Linked DNA regions of Saccharomyces cerevisiae S288C. Changing the gene in region 1 together with any one later gene gives a genetic interaction. Each region holds a gene or a part of one and is shown in the gene's direction. Other genes may lie near its edges. The genes, in order: DIE2 and KEI1.

The links.
Region 2: mutations in DIE2 (region 1) and KEI1 together harm fitness more than expected from each alone (negative genetic interaction), as found in Saccharomyces cerevisiae (one large-scale study listed by BioGRID).

The regions. Positions count from the first base shown.
Region 1 is NC_001139.9:945,420-949,019, forward strand, and holds DIE2 (dolichyl-P-Glc:Glc(2)Man(9)GlcNAc(2)-PP-dolichol alpha-1,2- glucosyltransferase), read left to right. Parts: upstream 1-2,000; coding exon 2,001-3,578; downstream 3,579-3,600. Other genes in the region: AMA1 (Ama1p), read left to right, coding at 1-908, 1,002-1,600.
Region 2 is NC_001136.10:1,208,097-1,217,774, forward strand, and holds KEI1 (Kei1p), read left to right. Parts: upstream 1-4,751; coding exon 4,752-4,781; intron 4,782-4,882; coding exon 4,883-5,518; downstream 5,519-9,678. Other genes in the region: YDR365W-A (gag protein), read left to right, coding at 1-223; MOR1 (Mor1p), read right to left, coding at 4,342-4,740; trifunctional aldehyde reductase/carbonyl reductase (NADPH)/glucose 1-dehydrogenase (NADP(+)) YPR1, read left to right, coding at 5,808-6,746; XRS2 (Xrs2p), read right to left, coding at 6,920-9,484. UniProt on the Saccharomyces cerevisiae protein: Regulatory component of the inositol phosphorylceramide (ICP) synthase which catalyzes the addition of a phosphorylinositol group onto ceramide to form inositol phosphorylceramide, an essential step in sphingolipid biosynthesis.

The DNA.
Region 1 (3,600 bases):
CATGTCAAGTATCTCTAGCTCTTCTGAGAGTCAAGTTACCAGAAGTGGAAGTGCAAGAGCTTCAAGAAACGATTATTCAAAATTAACTAAAGAGCAAAAGGACCATAGAAAGAATATTGCACATTCTCTTGGTTTTCAATTGCCCGACCGTGTCTTTACGTTTGAGACCACAAGTGCTGAAATTCTGGAAAAGAATAAAGCCATCAAAAATTGCTTTGGACCAGGAAGTTGCGCCGAAATAAGATCAACCTTTGACTTTAGTACACTCTCGCCCGATGTTGCCCGTTATTATATCGCTAATTCTAACGCAAGATCAGCTTCCCCACAAAGACAAATCCAAAGACCTGCTAAACGAGTAAAGTCACATATTCCATACCGTGTATTGGATGCACCTTGCCTGAGAAATGATTTTTATTCGAACTTAATTTCTTGGTCAAGAACCACAAACAACGTTTTGGTGGGACTGGGTTGCTCCGTATACATCTGGTCTGAGAAAGAAGGAGCGGTATCTATATTGGACCATCAATACTTAAGTGAAAAGAGGGATTTAGTGACATGCGTCTCATTCTGTCCTTACAATACTTATTTTATTGTTGGTACAAAATTTGGCCGTATTCTTCTTTATGATCAAAAAGAATTTTTTCATTCCAGCAACACAAACGAAAAGGAACCAGTATTTGTTTTCCAAACTGAATCCTTCAAAGGAATATGTTGCCTAGAATGGTTCAAACCAGGTGAAATTTGCAAATTTTATGTTGGAGAGGAAAATGGCAATGTGAGCCTCTTTGAAATAAAGAGTTTGCATTTCCCCATAAAAAACTGGAGTAAAAGACAAAAACTCGAAGATGAAAATTTAATAGGATTGAAACTTCATTCCACTTATCAAGCTCAGGCACAGCAAGTCTGTGGTACGTTATTAAGAGCTTATGCTTTCACATACCCTTTTCTGGTATAGCGCTTATTTTTTCATTATGAAAAATACTAACAAATATTTTCTACAGGTATTTCTCTGAATGAACATGCAAACCTGCTTGCAGTCGGCGGCAATGATAATTCTTGTAGCTTATGGGATATTTCCGACTTGGATAAACCTATTAAAAAGTTTGTTCTTCCACATAAAGCGGCTGTGAAGGCCATTGCCTTTTGTCCTTGGTCGAAGTCTTTGTTGGCTACGGGTGGTGGAAGCAAAGACAGATGTATTAAGTTTTGGCATACATCGACAGGCACATTGTTGGATGAGATTTGCACCTCGGGACAGGTGACGTCTTTGATATGGTCGTTGAGACATAAACAGATTGTTGCTACTTTTGGATTCGGTGATACCAAGAATCCTGTATTAATAACACTATACTCATATCCAAAATTATCAAAACTACTCGAAGTTAGGTCGCCCAACCCTTTGCGTGTACTGAGCGCAGTAATCTCTCCAAGTTCCATGGCAATTTGCGTTGCCACTAACGATGAAACGATAAGATTTTATGAACTGTGGAACGATAAGGAGGAAATAATTAATGAAATTCAAGAGAGTGGGATTTATGGATCTAATATTATAGAATATATGGAGGGTATCGAAACAACACATAACAAAAGAATAAGGTAATATAAAAAAAGGATATTCATTGCACGCACAAACCAAATACTTCAAATAGCAAACTAACAGTAAGAATATATAAAACTATACATACGTATACATAAAAAAATAATAGGGAAAAAAAAAGGAAACCATATGAGTTTGAATGAGGCGACGTGCCATATTAAACAATTATATTTTAACACTTCCGCACTGCACCTATTTAGTTGGCTGATTTGTGACGTTTTTAATTCCGATCGGCCTGAAACAGCGAAGGGTCCTGGAAAATTAAGATAATAAAACGAAATGAAACCCAGCAACGTTAGATGATGCTCAAAAAAATATAGAGACAGAGAAAAACCAGAATACAAAGAGCTGTTTAAGTGGTCAATATCCCAGGTACACCGAGCCCAGTCACATCGAACTTATAATGGATGCAAAGAAAAATACTGGTGAAGCCAATAATGATGTATTGGAAGAGGAAGCAGCGATTCAGTTGATTGCACCAGGTATAGCGAGAAACTTAACACAAGAAGTCATTACCGGTATCTTCTGTAATGTAGTAATATATCCTCTTCTTCTAATATATTTTGTCTTAACTTTCCGTTACATGACTACAAATATTGTACCTTATGAATTTATAGATGAAAAGTTTCACGTTGGCCAAACTTTGACCTATTTAAAAGGTAAATGGACTCAATGGGACCCTAAAATAACAACCCCCCCTGGAATCTATATTTTGGGTTTAATTAATTATTATTGTATAAAGCCCATATTCAAGTCGTGGAGCACACTAACCATACTAAGATTAGTTAATTTACTTGGAGGGATTATCGTTTTCCCCATTTTAGTACTCAGGCCAATATTCCTTTTTAATGCCTTAGGTTTTTGGCCCGTTTCATTAATGAGCTTCCCATTGATGACAACTTATTATTACTTATTTTACACCGATGTGTGGTCTACAATTCTGATATTGCAATCACTCAGCTGCGTGTTAACATTACCGTTTGGCCCCGTGAAGAGTATATGGTTGAGTGCTTTTTTTGCTGGTGTAAGCTGTCTCTTCAGACAAACGAATATCATTTGGACGGGATTTATAATGATTCTTGCTGTTGAACGCCCAGCCATTTTACAAAAACAGTTCAACACGCATACGTTCAATAACTATTTGAAATTATTCATTCATGCTATTGACGATTTCTCCAACCTTGTTCTGCCCTATATGATAAATTTTGTTTTGTTCTTCATTTATCTGATTTGGAACAGATCCATAACACTAGGTGATAAGTCCAGCCACTCAGCAGGCCTGCATATAGTACAAATATTCTATTGTTTCACATTCATCACCGTTTTCAGTTTACCTATATGGATATCTCGTAATTTTATGAAGTTGTACAAATTAAGAATAAAACGGAAGCCAGTACAAACTTTTTTTGAATTTATTGGTATTATGCTAATCATAAGATACTTTACAAAAGTTCACCCATTTTTGTTAGCAGATAATAGACACTACACGTTCTACCTCTTCAGAAGATTGATAGGCAACAAAAGTAGACTAATCAAGTACTTTTTTATGACACCAATCTATCATTTCTCCACTTTCGCATACCTTGAAGTGATGAGACCCAACCAGCTCACCTTTCACCCCATCACTCCACTCCCCATCAAAGAACCTGTACATTTACCCATACAACTGACACATGTATCGTGGACGGCCTTAATAACGTGCACCATGGTAACTATCGTTCCATCACCCTTATTCGAACCTCGTTACTATATATTGCCCTATTTCTTTTGGAGAATATTTATTACCTGCAGCTGCGAACCTTTGATAAAGGATTTAAAACCTGCTAAAGAAGGCGAAAACCCAATTACCATAAGCAGTACGAAAAGACTGTTCATGGAATTTTTATGGTTCATGCTCTTCAATGTCGTTACTTTAGTTATCTTTTCCAAGGTCTCATTTCCTTGGACCACTGAGCCCTATTTGCAAAGAATAATATGGTGAACAGAATTGATTATAGTTGCAA
Region 2 (9,678 bases), on another chromosome or scaffold:
GAAGAATGATTCTCGCAGCTATACGAATACAACCAAACCCAAAGTTATAGCTCGGAATCCTCAAAAAACAAATAATTCGAAATCGAAAACAGCCAGGGCTCACAATGTATCCACATCTAATAACTCTCCCAGCACGGACAACGATTCCATCAGTAAATCAACTACTGAACCGATTCAATTGAACAATAAGCACGACCTTCACCTTAGGCCAGGAACTTACTGAATCTACGGTAAATCACACTAATCATTCTGATGATGAACTCCCTGGACACCTCCTTCTCGATTCAGGAGCATCACGAACCCTTATAAGATCTGCTCATCACATACACTCAGCATCATCTAATCCTGACATAAACGTAGTTGATGCTCAAAAAAGAAATATACCAATTAACGCTATTGGTGACCTACAATTTCACTTCCAGGACAACACCAAAACATCAATAAAGGTATTGCACACTCCTAACATAGCCTATGACTTACTCAGTTTGAATGAATTGGCTGCAGTAGATATCACAGCATGCTTTACCAAAAACGTCTTAGAACGATCTGACGGCACTGTACTTGCACCTATCGTACAATATGGAGACTTTTACTGGGTATCTAAAAGGTACTTGCTTCCATCAAATATCTCCGTACCCACCATCAATAATGTCCATACAAGTGAAAGTACACGCAAATATCCTTATCCTTTCATTCATCGAATGCTTGCGCATGCCAATGCACAGACAATTCGATACTCACTTAAAAATAACACCATCACGTATTTTAACGAATCAGATGTCGACTGGTCTAGTGCTATTGACTATCAATGTCCTGATTGTTTAATCGGCAAAAGCACCAAACACAGACATATCAAAGGTTCACGACTAAAATACCAAAATTCATACGAACCCTTTCAATACCTACATACTGACATATTTGGTCCAGTTCACAACCTACCAAATAGTGCACCATCCTATTTCATCTCATTTACTGATGAGACAACAAAATTCCGTTGGGTTTATCCATTACACGACCGTCGCGAGGACTCTATCCTCGATGTTTTTACTACGATACTAGCTTTTATTAAGAACCAGTTTCAGGCCAGTGTCTTGGTTATACAAATGGACCGTGGTTCTGAGTATACTAACAGAACTCTCCATAAATTCCTTGAAAAAAATGGTATAACTCCATGCTATACAACCACAGCGGATTCCCGAGCACATGGAGTCGCTGAACGGCTAAACCGTACCTTATTAGATGACTGCCGTACTCAACTGCAATGTAGTGGTTTACCGAACTATTTATGGTTCTCTGCAATCGAATTTTCTACTATTGTGAGAAATTCACTAGCTTCACCTAAAAGCAAAAAATCTGCAAGACAACATGCTGGCTTGGCAGGACTTGATATCAGTACTTTGTTACCTTTCGGTCAACCTGTTATCGTCAATGATCACAACCCTAACTCCAAAATACATCCTCGTGGCATCCCAGGCTACGCTCTACATCCGTCTCGAAACTCTTATGGATATATCATCTATCTTCCATCCTTAAAGAAGACAGTAGATACAACTAACTATGTTATTCTTCAGGGCAAGGAATCCAGATTAGATCAATTCAATTACGACGCACTCACTTTCGATGAAGACTTAAACCGTTTAACTGCTTCATATCATTCGTTCATTGCGTCAAATGAGATCCAAGAATCCAATGATCTTAACATAGAATCTGACCATGACTTCCAATCCGACATTGAACTACATCCTGAGCAACCGAGAAATGTCCTTTCAAAAGCTGTGAGTCCAACCGATTCCACACCTCCGTCAACTCATACTGAAGATTCGAAACGTGTTTCTAAAACCAATATTCGCGCACCCAGAGAAGTTGACCCCAACATATCTGAATCTAATATTCTTCCATCAAAGAAGAGATCTAGCACCCCCCAAATTTCCAATATCGAGAGTACCGGTTCGGGTGGTATGCATAAATTAAATGTTCCTTTACTTGCTCCCATGTCCCAATCTAACACACATGAGTCGTCGCACGCCAGTAAATCTAAAGATTTCAGACACTCAGACTCGTACAGTGAAAATGAGACTAATCATACAAACGTACCAATATCCAGTACGGGTGGTACCAACAACAAAACTGTTCCGCAGATAAGTGACCAAGAGACTGAGAAAAGGATTATACACCGTTCACCTTCAATCGATGCTTCTCCACCGGAAAATAATTCATCGCACAATATTGTTCCTATCAAAACGCCAACTACTGTTTCTGAACAGAATACCGAGGAATCTATCATCGCTGATCTCCCACTCCCTGATCTACCTCCAGAATCTCCTACCGAATTCCCTGACCCATTTAAAGAACTCCCACCGATAAATTCTCGTCAAACTAATTCCAGTTTGGGTGGTATTGGTGACTCTAATGCCTATACTACTATCAACAGTAAGAAAAGATCATTAGAAGATAATGAAACTGAAATTAAGGTATCACGAGACACATGGAATACTAAGAATATGCGTAGTTTAGAACCTCCGAGATCGAAGAAACGAATTCACCTGATTGCAGCTGTAAAAGCAGTAAAATCAATCAAACCAATACGGACAACCTTACGATACGATGAGGCAATCACCTATAATAAAGATATTAAAGAAAAAGAAAAATATATCGAGGCATACCACAAAGAAGTCAATCAACTGTTGAAGATGAAAACTTGGGACACTGACGAATATTATGACAGAAAAGAAATAGACCCTAAAAGAGTAATAAACTCAATGTTTATCTTCAACAAGAAACGTGACGGTACTCATAAAGCTAGATTTGTTGCAAGAGGTGATATTCAGCATCCTGACACTTACGACTCAGGCATGCAATCCAATACCGTACATCACTATGCATTAATGACATCCCTGTCACTTGCATTAGACAATAACTACTATATTACACAATTAGACATATCTTCGGCATATTTGTATGCAGACATCAAAGAAGAATTATACATAAGACCTCCACCACATTTAGGAATGAATGATAAGTTGATACGTTTGAAGAAATCACTTTATGGATTGAAACAAAGTGGAGCGAACTGGTACGAAACTATCAAATCATACCTGATACAACAATGTGGTATGGAAGAAGTTCGTGGATGGTCATGCGTATTTAAAAACAGTCAAGTGACAATTTGTTTATTCGTAGATGATATGGTATTGTTTAGCAAAAATCTAAATTCAAACAAAAGAATTATAGAGAAGCTTAAGATGCAATACGACACCAAGATTATAAATCTAGGCGAAAGTGATGAGGAAATTCAATATGACATACTTGGCTTAGAAATCAAATATCAAAGAGGTAAATACATGAAATTAGGTATGGAAAACTCATTAACTGAGAAAATACCCAAATTAAACGTACCTTTGAATCCAAAAGGAAGAAAACTTAGCGCTCCAGGTCAACCAGGTCTTTATATAGACCAGGATGAACTAGAAATAGATGAAGATGAATACAAAGAGAAGGTACATGAAATGCAAAAGTTGATTGGTCTAGCTTCATATGTTGGATATAAATTTAGATTTGACTTACTATACTACATCAACACACTTGCTCAACATATACTATTCCCCTCTAGGCAAGTTTTAGACATGACATATGAGTTAATACAATTCATGTGGGACACTAGAGATAAACAATTAATATGGCACAAAAACAAACCTACCAAGCCAGATAATAAACTAGTCGCAATAAGCGATGCTTCATATGGTAACCAACCATATTACAAGTCACAAATTGGTAACATTTTCCTACTCAACGGAAAAGTGATTGGAGGAAAGTCGACAAAGGCTTCGTTAACATGCACTTCAACTACAGAAGCAGAAATACACGCAGTCAGTGAAGCTATACCGCTATTGAATAACCTCAGTCACCTTGTGCAAGAACTTAACAAGAAACCAATTATTAAAGGCTTACTTACTGATAGTAGATCAACGATCAGTATAATTAAGTCTACAAATGAAGAGAAATTTAGAAACAGATTTTTTGGCACAAAGGCAATGAGACTTAGAGATGAAGTATCAGGTAATAATTTATACGTATACTACATCGAGACCAAGAAGAACATTGCTGATGTGATGACAAAACCTCTTCCGATAAAAACATTTAAACTATTAACTAACAAATGGATTCATTAGATCTATTACATTATGGGTGGTATGTTGGAATAGAAATCAACTATCATCTACTAACTAGTATTTACATTACTAGTATATTATCATATACGGTGTTAGAAGATGACGCAAATGATGAGAAATAGTCATCTAAATTAGTGGAAGCTGAAACGCAAGGATTGATAATGTAATAGGATCAATGAATATAAACATATAAAATGATGATAATAATATTTATAGAATTGTGTAGAATTGCAGATTCCCTTTTATGGATTCCTAAATCCTTGAGGAGAACTTCTAGTATATTCTGTATACCTAATATTATAGCCTTTATCAACAATGGAATCCCAACAATTATCTCAACATTCACATATTTCTCAAAGCATATATGTAGTATATATACATATACATATATATATTTATATAGGTTTGGGAACCTATGTTTTTTATTGTACCAAACGCATCCCTCTTCAATAATCTTCGAAAAAAAAGTGCACAACAAGCGGGAAAATCTGTGTAAAGCTGTATAAGTGATCTGTACAAAAACTACGAAGAAAAGAAATAATACCAGGGAGGAACTACCAATTGTAACCATTAACCTTAGTTATGAGATCATCTCTTCTAACCCTTCCAAAAGTATGTTTCCGGCAAACGCTATAAATTTTTGTTAACTTGTAAGGATTCGAAGCAAAGCACAATTTTACTAACCTGTTCTCAAACATATTTTTTTTTCATAGTCTTTTTTGGGGTTTATGCCGCTATACCTTGCAGTTGAGATTGTCTTAGGTATTTCCATTCTAAACAAATGCAGTGGTGCTTATGGTATTTTAGCATTGTTCACGGGTCATCCGTTGGATTTTATGCAATGGATAGCATATCTTTGGTCGGTATTTACATTAATCGTATTCTCACAAGGGCTGTATTTGATTCATAAGCCAAACTTGCTGGTATTTTCGCAAATCTGCGTACTTTATACAATCGATACCATTTCCACTTGTTTTTTTACTCTATGGTTTACCACGCAATGGTTCACCTTGGAAGACACTGCTAATATTGATGGAAATAATGCACTACAAAGTAACCCAATATCGACAGGTAAGCTGACAGAACGTGGTATTGATATAAGTAAACAAAGTGCAACTGAAAGCTACGAATATACCATGACTATTTTAATTACGTTGGTGTCATTGATATTCAGGTTCTACTTTAACTTCATTTTGGCATCTTTTGTTCAAGAATTGTTACACCACCCCAAATATTTAGTTGATAGGGATGACGTAGAACAAAACTTGAAAAACAAGCCTATTTGGAAAAGACTGTGGGCTAAGAGCCAAAAAGGTTGTTATAAGCTATGTAAGAATTTGTTAGAGTAAATAGTAAAATAAAGCCCTAGCGTTATAGCGTTTTACACTGATGAAGAAATGTTTCTATTCTGACATCATAAAATCATTCTCACTGATGCTATTGTCACTTTTCATCACGTGTGTATTTAAGTAGCTCTTACGTAATTTTGAAAAAAAAGGAAAAAGGAAACTATATAGCACGCAATTCCCTATTTGGTTGCAATTCAATTCCGTGAAACCCTTTTCTTTTCTAAAGTGATAATAAAGTAACTTTGCAATATAATCAGGTCGCAAATATACCCACAGATAATAATCTACCATGCCTGCTACGTTAAAGAATTCTTCTGCTACATTAAAACTAAATACTGGTGCCTCCATTCCAGTGTTGGGTTTCGGCACTTGGCGTTCCGTTGACAATAACGGTTACCATTCTGTAATTGCAGCTTTGAAAGCTGGATACAGACACATTGATGCTGCGGCTATCTATTTGAATGAAGAAGAAGTTGGCAGGGCTATTAAAGATTCCGGAGTCCCTCGTGAGGAAATTTTTATTACTACTAAGCTTTGGGGTACGGAACAACGTGATCCGGAAGCTGCTCTAAACAAGTCTTTGAAAAGACTAGGCTTGGATTATGTTGACCTATATCTGATGCATTGGCCAGTGCCTTTGAAAACCGACAGAGTTACTGATGGTAACGTTCTGTGCATTCCAACATTAGAAGATGGCACTGTTGACATCGATACTAAGGAATGGAATTTTATCAAGACGTGGGAGTTGATGCAAGAGTTGCCAAAGACGGGCAAAACTAAAGCCGTTGGTGTCTCTAATTTTTCTATTAACAACATTAAAGAATTATTAGAATCTCCAAATAACAAGGTGGTACCAGCTACTAATCAAATTGAAATTCATCCATTGCTACCACAAGACGAATTGATTGCCTTTTGTAAGGAAAAGGGTATTGTTGTTGAAGCCTACTCACCATTTGGGAGTGCTAATGCTCCTTTACTAAAAGAGCAAGCAATTATTGATATGGCTAAAAAGCACGGCGTTGAGCCAGCACAGCTTATTATCAGTTGGAGTATTCAAAGAGGCTACGTTGTTCTGGCCAAATCGGTTAATCCTGAAAGAATTGTATCCAATTTTAAGATTTTCACTCTGCCTGAGGATGATTTCAAGACTATTAGTAACCTATCCAAAGTGCATGGTACAAAGAGAGTCGTTGATATGAAGTGGGGATCCTTCCCAATTTTCCAATGAGCGCGCTACATTACAGTTAATGCCTCCAGCAACCTGTAGTGCTTCTTTAAACCGATCCGATACAGCTGAAACAAACATTGATTTTACTAATTTTCATATAATATATACACATATATCGAATGATAATGCAAAATATAATTTAATGAAATTGGAAATACTCGGAAAATTTATCATTATCCTTTTCTTCTTTTGAACGTAAACTTCGGACCGTCGTCATCGTCGTCGTCGCCATCACCGTTATTAGAAGCCCCAAAAGAGCCACGTGATCTACTAGTTGCGCTTCTACTGTGTCTACTTTGCTTGGAACATTCTTCTGACAAGTTTGGCCGTAAGTTCATTTCCTTCACCACAAAAAGATTACGATTATTTTCTCTGTGATTTAGTCTATCGCTTTTATCATCAATATCACCCAGATCATCTTCATCAGTAATAAAAATTTTGTTTTTTAGTGGTTGAACGCTGGCTGCAGTACCTGAACAACGAGAAAAAGAAAACGAATCTTCTTCTCCTTCATTTGAACTATCCTCATTCGTGAATCTGTTTAGAGCTTGAGATCTTTTCTGGATAGTGTTTGAGTTTATATTATCGGACATAAATGTATTCGATCCAAATCTTTCCATCTCCGTCAAAGCAAACATATCTTCGTTTTCTTCTGTGCCCCATTTTGTAGTTGTATCCTTTTTGGAGTATTTTTTTAACGGAACATAATTTCTAGTGATTAAAAAGGCTGCATTTCGTATAAAATCTGAGCTTTGAGTGTTATTTTTACCCTCTTCTTTGTGCGCCTTTGATTTTGGACGTACCTTGACAAAAGTCTTGAAATTCTTGCGTTTATGCCATTCTGGCTCCATTAGGCTATTTTCCCATTTTTCAGTTGTTCTGCTTGTTTTGTTTCCCTCACTATCAAATGATTTCCTCAGTAAATTGTTACTAGGTTCTACAATAGCCAAATTTTTTAGCTGATTAATAGCTTCCTCGCTCAACTCCTCATCCTTCAATTCAACAATGGTTGACTTAACTCTTTTGACCTCTCTATTTTTAGTTTCTTGAATAGCTTCAACAAATGCGTGCGGCGTACCAGATTTCTCTTTAATAGATAACTCTTTTACAGGTGACTTACAATTTTCTTGTAATGGAGATGAAATTTCTCGTGAATAATTAGAAAGTTTACGGATGTTTTTAGAGGGTTGCTCTATATTCTGGTGATGATTCACCCTAAAATTCTTAGTAACTTCAGCATCATCCATCGAATTCACAGCAGCTGTTTCATAGTCAGCGGAGTTCGAAGATATGGTTTGAGAGCCAATCCCTGCTACCTCCGGCAATGACGGCTGTGGTAACTTATGTGACTGTAGCGACTTATCCAACGAATCCTCACTCGTGTTCACAGTACCTAAGTTGGGGCTACTGACAATTATAGCACCAGGGCTACTGTGACCACTTTTCTTTCCAATATCTTCAGTCGGCTTTAGTGCGTTTTGAAGAAATGGGGCGTGCTTTTCATCTGCCTCTGCAATGTTGGGACTTGAAATGACAGTCTTTGATTCTGCGCCACAATTAAGTCTCTTAGCGTCAGTTAAAGACCTATTTTCTGATAGAGTCTTAGTACTCAAACCTCCAGCAAAAAAATCAAGACTATCGAGTGGTAGTACTCTACGTCTATTTAATTTTCGCTTCTTCGAGACTACTGGACTAGCTTCAACTTCAGGTGCACGAGATGTTTTCAAAATAGTAGACATTCCTTCAGAAATTTGATCAAATTTACCGTTATCTAGAGTTCTTGAAGATGCACCCTTCATATTAATCACTGCGCTTAAGGTGCCATCTATTATTGATGTTAACATCGTTTTGATAGTACATAGAATTTTCCCATTTTCTTTCTTATCTGTAGTTGTCAAAATCAGGTATTCTGTTGATGCTTCCAAGCTGTCAACATATTTATATAAACTATCAATGTTGTCAAATGCAAATAAATTTATATTGAACGTCCGCAGGAGAGATGATAGACGTGGTTCACTTTTGATAGTAGTTAACACTCTGATATTATTCAGCCTCATAAACTTCGAAAGCAAAATATTTGGATCAAAATCAAAAACATTGTACTCCGGATTACTAATCATATCGTTCCACATTTCATCAAATTTTAAATTAGTTTTAGATGTGGGAAGAAGAGTATTACACAATTCCATCAGAAACCGTGATTTTTTCATGGGTATAGTACTAACAAGGGCATACAATTCCCGTATGCTGTTGTCCTCGCTCTTTGGGTAATCGCTAATCATCAGATTAGCGGGAATATCATTAATAGAAATCTCAGTGGAGATACCATATTCAGAAAGCATCGTCCTGAATTGTGTCAAATGAGGAGGAATGTTCCAGACTTCATTTATCCATTCGAACTCTATACGAATAGGAGTTGTACCCAGTTCAATTATTGTGGACTTTAAAACGTCCGAGGCATTAATAGTAAATGTTTCGCCAACTTTCATGAATTTTTTATTTAATGATGTCAATTTACCCTTGTTAACTAAACACAGGCTACTGTGTTTCAGATCCGAACTATTATTGATTTCCCATTTGAATGTGATATGCTGTCTGGAAATACTTTTATCATTTTTAATTATCAGTGGGTTTTTACTTGATCTACCTATACTATAAGTTTTGAAGGCCTGAAGACAACATGATATAAAGCTAATAGAGCCATCTTCCAATGTATTCTGGTATCGTACTACCCACATAAATTTATAGTTATCACCTTCTCAGTATTGTTGCTCATCTATTACAAAATTCTGCTTATTTGGTTTACGCATTGCTTTTCATAGAAAAAAAGGGCTCCCCATATAAATTTAAGAAAAGTACTAATATTTAGCGTAGTTAACAACTTTACGAAAATGAAAATGAAATATTTCTCGGAAAAGTATTATATATTATA